Linked DNA regions of Caenorhabditis elegans. The protein of the gene in region 2 interacts with the protein of the main gene of each other region in a pairwise test. Each region holds a gene or a part of one and is shown on either strand. Other genes may lie near its edges. The genes, in order: scrm-8 and idpc-2.

The links.
Region 1: the proteins of idpc-2 (region 2) and scrm-8 interact in a two-hybrid assay, tested with the Caenorhabditis elegans proteins (one large-scale study listed by BioGRID).

The regions. Positions count from the first base shown.
Region 1 is NC_003282.8:4,162,750-4,166,994, reverse strand, and holds scrm-8 (Phospholipid scramblase), read right to left. Parts: upstream 2,304-4,245; 5' UTR 2,274-2,303; intron 2,220-2,273; 5' UTR 2,217-2,219; coding exon 1,998-2,216; intron 1,950-1,997; coding exon 1,590-1,949; intron 1,193-1,589; coding exon 1,006-1,192; intron 959-1,005; coding exon 819-958; 3' UTR 765-818; downstream 1-764. Other genes in the region: scrm-5 (Phospholipid scramblase), read right to left, coding at 2,572-2,711, 2,769-2,955, 3,841-4,200.
Region 2 is NC_003283.11:8,619,123-8,622,933, reverse strand, and holds idpc-2 (Intrinsically Disordered Protein, class C), read left to right. Parts: upstream 1-1,620; 5' UTR 1,621-1,637; coding exon 1,638-1,663; intron 1,664-1,802; coding exon 1,803-1,839; intron 1,840-2,022; coding exon 2,023-2,910; 3' UTR 2,911-3,009; downstream 3,010-3,811. Other genes in the region: F41E6.1 (uncharacterized protein), read right to left, coding at 1-60, 111-143; grd-5 (Ground-like domain-containing protein), read right to left, coding at 3,261-3,490, 3,806-3,811.

The DNA.
Region 1 (4,245 bases), on a different chromosome or scaffold from region 2:
ACGCGACACGCAACGCGACATGCAACGCGACACGCGACGCGACACTCGACGCGACACGCAACGCGACACGCGACGCGACACTCGACGCGACACTCGACGCGACACTCGACGCGACACTCGACGCGACACTCGACGCGACACTCGACTCGACGCGACACGCAACGCGACACGCAACTCGACACGCAACGCGACACGCAACGCGACACGACACGCAACGCGACACGCAACGCGACACGCAACGCGACACGCAACGCGTCGTAAGGTTACTCACCGTCATCTGAACCGGCATTGCTGCGACCATATTCGGCACCTCCATCGGAGTATCCCGTGGCTGTGGAAGTCTCCCGCCGCCACGCATCATTCCAGCTTCCGCTCGGCTCTTCGGTGGCTCCTTTTCGGATTTCTCAGTTGAAGTCGCACAGCTGACTGGCTGCTCTCCGGGTTGTTTATTCATTTTTATTGGTTTCTGGAAAAGTTGGAAGGTTTTGGGGTCCCAGAAAGAAGCGATAGAAAACTCACATTCGATGACGATGAACAATAGTAGGAATGGGAGATTATGTTGGGAGAAGATGTTACGTGAGGGGTGGAAAAGGGGTCACGTTGAAAATTTGAATTTTCATCCAGATTACAAAGCTTTTTTTTTAAATAAAAATCAACTACTTCTTGGGATGTACGGGAAAAATCTAAGCACTTGTGCCCAAAAAACAGAATTATCTTCTGAAAAAAGTGAGCTTGTAATTACAGAAAAGCTAGCTATAAAACTGTGGAGAAAAAACTAGTTTATTCTAGTTTGCAAGTGAAATGGGCTCATAAAAAATTCAAAAGCTGCTATGCATTCCGCCATGCATCCCACCATGATGATGACGATCCTGGTTACGATCCTCAAAGTAGGTGAAGTCGATCAAGAAAACCGAGGTGACGAGCAGAAGCTTCAAGATTGGCGGCATGTCCATTGGAACTGAAATATATCGGAATTCAGATAGAATTCGGATCTTAAGAACTTACAATGAACAATATAGGTGTCCGCATCGGTGAACATCTCCTGCATGAATCCCGGGTAGAGGCGGACGATTTCTCCGACGAGTGCGCCATTGTAGGTCATAACTGGAAATTTCTGAGTACCACCACAGCCAGCACAAACTGGAGATTGGATGAGCAGGGGCTGGTTGCAGCCGGATCCGATGAGCTCGAACTAAAAGAATCTAGGACTAGCAAATGAAAGGTGTTAGGTATAAGAATTCCCTTGTGATAGCTCGGAACAATTTAGATCCCTAGATCATCGACTAACAACCCTACTTTCACAAAATGATCGGCATAGGACGTGGCATTGTGGTTTTATCGGGGTATCATGATGTCCCATATGATCTACAATATTGAGACGCACAGTTTTGGCACACTTTTCTGGGCGGAAAACACCCGCATTTTTTGTAGATCGTACCGGTATGAGACAGCCTGACACCACTTTAGGACTGTTCACAATGTATTGTTAAAATGTTTCCTATATTCTCATGCCTCTATAAATGTTAGGGTACTGTAGTTTAATGTAGTACTGTAGTTATTACTGGCGGTGGTTATCGTCCAAAACTCACGTTAGGATTACAGCACTCCCTCTTCATCATCCCAATCTGCTGATCGAGGAACTGGGTGCTCAGGAAATCATCGCATGAGCAGCATGGTCTTCCTCGAAAGCAAGTCATCACCTGGGCTCCGTGCGTATCCATGATCTGCATTCCGAAGTTACGATTGTTTCCGTGGTACTGACGAGCAAAGACGTTTGATCTTTCCATACAATAAAGCAGCGGACGACAGTACATGTCGTGGACCACATAGCGATTTGGAGTCTCGAATCCGGTGAAGATCTCGAGCGGTTCGATGCATTGGACAACCATCAGAGAGTTGGTATGGGCGATTGCGCTGAGGATGTTGTTGCTGGCAAGCTGAACGAAGCCCTGAAAAGTCAGAATTTAGAGCGGTCACCATTAGCTAGAATGACTTACAGTCATCTGAACCGGCATCGCTGCCACCTGATTCGGAATTTTCATTGGCGTCGATCTCGCCGCTGGCAGCTTCGTTCCAGCATTGTTTCTTCTACCGAACCCCGCTCCCTCGGCACGTGGCTCATCCTTCTTTGAATCCTGCTCAACCTCCTCAGGTGACTTCACCGCGGACGTTAAGCTAATTGCTTTCAATGGTAGCTGTCCCGGTTGAATATTCATTTTCTGAAAAAATTATGCGGGTTTTGAGGGAAAACCAAGAGAAATAAGAAAACTCACATAGAAAAGTGTTGGTCACAAGTCGGAAATAAATTAATTTTGAAAATCTGATCTGATTGTACTATGTGGAACTTCACGTCAGATTTAAATTTCTGTTGGAAAAAAATAGGAAATTATCTGCGGAATTGTTGTCTGCTGCACGTGTATTAGTTATCGCAATTTTAACAAGTCATTTGTGCCCAGAAAACGCAATCTTTTGCTGAGAAATTATCAGCTAGTAGGTATAGTAAGAAGAAGCCAGAAAAAACTAGTTTATTCTAGTTTGCAAGTGAATTTGTGAACAGGATCCTTTATAAGTTTAGAAGCTGCTATGCATTCCGCTATGCATTCCGCCGTTACGATGTTGATCCTGGTTACGATCCTCGAAGTAGGTGAAGTCGATCAGGAAAACCGAGGTGACAAGCAGAAGCTTCAAGATTGGCGGCATGTCCATTGGGACTGAAATATTCCAAAATTAAGATAGAAAAGATCAGAAGCTTAGAATAAAATGCTTACAATGAACAATATAGGTGTCCGCATCGGTGAACATCTCCTGCATGAATCCCGGGTAGAGGCGGACAATTTCTCCGACGAGCACACCATTGAAGGTCATCACTGGGAACTTCTGGGTGCCACCACAGCCTGCACAACCTGGAGATTGGATGAGCAGGGGCTGGTTGCAGCCGGATCCGACGAGCTCGAACTGAAAGAAAAGGTTAATAGGATGTGTCTCAAGGAGGATGGGAGATTCAGGTGAAGAGCTAATAAAGCTTCAGCCTATAGGAACGATTGCTCTGATCAGGGGTGTGCGGCAAGTTTGGCGAATTTGGCGAATTTGCCGCGTTAAAAATTCAGTAGTTTTGGTGCTTCAAAAAACATCAAATTTTTCGGAGTTAGTTGAGCTCGGCAAATTTGCCGAGTTTGCCCTTGTACAAGGTGTCATGCTAGTCCCGATGTTGCCGTTCAGCGGTATATAGATATAGATCTATAGATCTACGTATAGTGCAATTGTATAGTGCAATTTATATCTGTAACTTGGTACATTGGTGACGTACGGTCCTTCCGCCTTGCTCTGTGTTTCTCTCTTTTAGTGTGTCAATGCCTAGCCGCTGGGCGGCAGAGCAAAGGCGTGAAACCTGTACGTCTATGTACCAAGTAATAGGCTTTCTAGATAAACATCTTAATACTGAAAGACATTTGGACAGTCTAGTAACCTATAGTCTATATCTATGTCAGTACAAACTTGGCACATTGCAACCTACAGTCCTTCCGCTTTGCTCTCTTTTGTGTATCAATGTCTTGCGGCTGGGCGGCAGAGCAAAGCGGAAAGACTCTAGGTTGCTATGTGCCAAGTTACAGATATATTATAGATCGGACTATAGATAGGGCATCAGGGGTGTGCGGCAAATTTGCCGTTTGCCGAGCACTGCAAGTTTCAAAATTTGCCGCACAGCCCTGGCTCTAAGCTCGATCAAGATTGATGCAAACTCAGATCAGCGAAAAGATCTCTTTTGAGAAAAATGTGATTTTTCCAAAGAATGCTTCAGGGCTCTGGATTACTGTAGTTTTACTTGATACTAGCACTCACATTAGGATTGCAGCACTCCTTCTTCATCATCCCAATCTGCTGATCGAGGAACTGGGTGCTCAGAAAATCATCGGTCGAGCAGCATGGTCTTCCTCTGAAGCACGTCATCACCTGAGCTCCGTGGGTATCCATGATCTGCATTCCGAAGTTACGATCGTTTCCTTCGTACTGACGAGCGAAGATGTTCGATCTTTCCATACAATAAAGCAGCGGGCGGCAGTACATGTCATGGACCACGTAGCGATTCGGAGTTTCGAATCCGGTGAAGATCTCGAGGGGTTTGATGCATTGGACAACCATCACAGAGTTGGTATGGGCAATGGCGCTGAGAATGTTGTTGGCGACAAGTTGGACGAAGCCCTGAAAAGTCAAAAGTTAAAACGATCACTATTAGCTAGAATGACT
Region 2 (3,811 bases):
CTTCCCACCTGCACACTGAACCAGCATTGAACCAGTTATAAATAAACCAAGAACAAAGTTCTGAAAAATAAGCGATTAAAAATCTGAAAGAATGAACTTTTGTGGATTACCTGAATGAAGATTAAATAAATCGCATCATGCATATTTCTTATTAATTCTTTGCCGAAAACCTATTGAATACTGGATTTTAAATGAATTGTTTTAGTATGAATCAACTTTCCGTGGAAAATGTCATACACTTTAATTTCTATATAATGAGTTTTTGGTTACTTTTTTTGTCACGTCCTAATGTTTATTCGACTCCTTTTATGGCATTTCTTTCAAATAAATCCAGAACGCAGCTTAATTCTAGAAAAGAGCAAAAGTATAATAAAAAGAAATGAGAACAGTTGTAGAAAGAGAATACACACTTCACACTTTCCGGAATTGAAGTGGTTGACGTTTTTGTGAACGAAAACGAAGCAAGAATCGAAAAATGAATTGGGAAATAAAAAATAGACTGTAGTTTTCTTAAGATAATTTACCATTCTGGGTTCAAAAATTCCAAATACATAAGTGTAACACAAAATGAACAAAAAAACATTTTTTTTTTCGACAATAATGTTCAATCTTTTTGAATTTCTTTCAGCAATCTTCGTTCTTTCAACTGTATGTGGATTTCCTGGTATTTTTTGAGTTATTATTCACACTTTCCGGAATGACAATTGTTTGGTCTTTAACTTGAAAACTAATGGTTTTTGTAAAACAATATTTTACATTAAAAACATGTACCGTATTTCCGTTCTGCATACAATGCTCAATTGAGGTGTTGGACTGAGATTTCAAGATAAATAGATACTGCAGTATACTGCCATAAAAATACATTACCATCAAAAACCAAACACTTTTGAAACCGCTGTGTCAAAATTTTTAGGTACAAATATTTATATAACACTTCAATTCGAGGAAGTTTTATAACCTACAGAAATATTACTCAAAAATTATTTTAGAATTTTTCGATTGACGGCTTATTCTATCATACTTTTAGTAGTTTTACAAAATGTACAAGAGGTTTTTTGGTGGTCCTGTTTGTGTTGAAGATGATTTTATTATTTCAATAAATCTTGCAAACATCGATGGATCCCAATGACGATCATATCGACGCGTCTTGTTTCTTTTTGTTTTCCAAGTTCTCCAAATCAAGATTTTTTCTAAGATCAAACTTTGTGTAAACAACAAACACTAAAATACAAACATGTGAGAACATGTGTACCGAGTCTTCAATTTCAATTACTTCCGGAAATCCGCACTTTCGAACTTTTCACAAAAACGTCGCTTAACTAAATCAAATCATCTTCTTTCCGATGAATGTTAAAAGTTTAACAAAGTTCTAGAACTGTCAAAATGGATTCATATATGAATAAAAAGGTAATCCGGTCGTCGATGAACCTGTCAACCATGCCTTCCCTCCCACTTTTCCCCATTCTGCATGAAACGTCAGTGTATTTGTTTGCTCACCGGCCTAATGATTGCAAAAAGTTGCGATACGGAAAGAAAGGTGCCAATTCGATGAAAATGGTATAAAAGCAGCCGAACGGTGGCACTAATTCATCGGCTTCTTCGTCTTTTCTCCTTTTCTTTCCTTTATTCAGCCAATCATGCATTCAGCCATCGGACTACTTCTGTGAGTCAACCATATCATTGACTAATATCTAAAATTGACTTGACCACTGGTCATTTTCGTACTACTATTATACTAGTCTATACGATTTCCAGATCATTGAACACTGGAAAAACAAATAAAAAACCAAATAATTTTGCAGGGTCATCGCATCGGCTTCGCAAGCTCAAGTCTTATCTGTAAGTTCCATCTTTTTTCATGATCCTCCGCAACATTTTACAAAAAAGAGCTCAAGAAACATAGTACTAACATATTTTCGAAATTAATAGAAATTCCGATTCTACATCTAACAGAATATTATTACTTCAGACAATCTGTGCAAAATAGTGTTAATAATCTTGACTTACACTTTCGAATTACAGCTAAACTGTGCTACTCCACCATGTCCAGAGCCCATGCCAGTGTGTGCTACTCCTCCGTGTCCACCTCAATATGCTCCACTTCCACCCCCACCAATGCCTGCACCAGCTCCAGCTTACAACCCATACCCATGCGCCAATCCTCCATGCATTGTTGTTGAGCCGATGCCAGTTGCTCCACCAGCACCAGCTCCAGCATACAATCCATATCCATGTGCTACTCCACCATGCCCACTTCCATACATTCCTGAGCCAGTTGCTCCAGTCCCAGCTCCAGCTCCAGTTTACGAGCCATATGCATGCGCTGCCCCACCATGCCCACCACCGACTCCAGTCTATGAGCCATATGCCTGTGCCGCTCCACCATGCCCAGCTCCAGTTGCCCCTCAACCAGTGATCCAACATGTTCCAGTACCAGTCCCAGTTCAAGTTCCAGTCCCAATCCGTGTTCCAGTCCCAGTTCCAGTCCCAACTCCAGTCTACCAACCAACATACTGCGCTGTCCCACCATGCCCAGCTCCAGCTGCCACTCCAGTCTACGCTCAACCAGCTCCAAGACCAATGCCAGTCTATGCTCCAGCTCCAGCCTGTGCTCAACCACCATGCCCAGCTTACAACCCATACGGATACCAAGGAACTCCAGGATATGCTCCAGCTTACAACCCATACTCATATGTGCTTAGATCTCCAGTCGCTGCTGCTCCAGGATATGCTCAAGGATACGCTCCAGCATACGCTCAGGGATACGCTCCAGCATATGCTCCATCTTATGCTCCAGCTTATGCCCCATCTCCATTCAGAAGAGCCATGTACCTTTTGGGATCCAACAAGGGAAAGAAGGCCGCCGCCGCCGCCGCAGCTGCCACTGAAGAGAAGAAGAAGACTGCTTAAGGATTTTTAGTGTCTCAATATCTGTACATTTGCCATATTGCTAGTTAATTGTAATTTTAAGTATTTGTTAATTCATTGAAATAAACAATTTCCTAAATTAACTAATCGAAATCTGTCAAATATCACTCCAAACTTGAAGAATGCAAAACGAATATTTTCAATGAAAATTTTCATTTATACAAAAAATGTGCCGTGTGGAACTTGAAAAATAACTGAAAAGCAATATGAGATAAGCAAGGAATGGGGGAGTTGGGGATCGTCATCAGTTGGGGAATTTCAAAATGAGAAATGTACAGAAAATGAAAGTCGCTGGAACCAGTAAAGAAAACGAAAGGATATAAGCCAACTGCTTATGGCTGCCATGCAAGAGCGTATTGTCCGTTCTTCTCGATCTTGCAAGATTTTCCCTCCTTGAAATGAGATTTGTAGGCAAAGTCATCGAGAGCGACGACAGTCTCGAATTTTCCTCCGAGAGATCCTTCGGCTCCCTTTTGAATGGAATCGGCTGATCCGAGCAAGTCATCTCCTCCCATGGCTCCTTTCATGGCTGACTCGAGCTCCTTGTTACAGCAAGTGAAACCTGAAAACTTTATTTTTTATGTAACCAAAATTATATTTAATTTTGCAAGCCCGTATCATTTTTCTATATTTTCTCTATATAGCCTGATTATTTTGTGAACATTTTCTTACTACATCGATCAATTCATTTCGCGTCATCTTCGGATAAAAATTTTATATTTTCCTTTCTATTTGATCGCTAGCTAGCGCCTGATTCTCATTTCCTAATGAGATTGGATGTGATAGCAAGCTAATTGTAATTCGACGTTTTTCTTCTCTTCTCTCTCTCTTTCAAAAACGAGATGCAATAGAATTGTTCTCACACCCAAAAGCTTACCGCTGT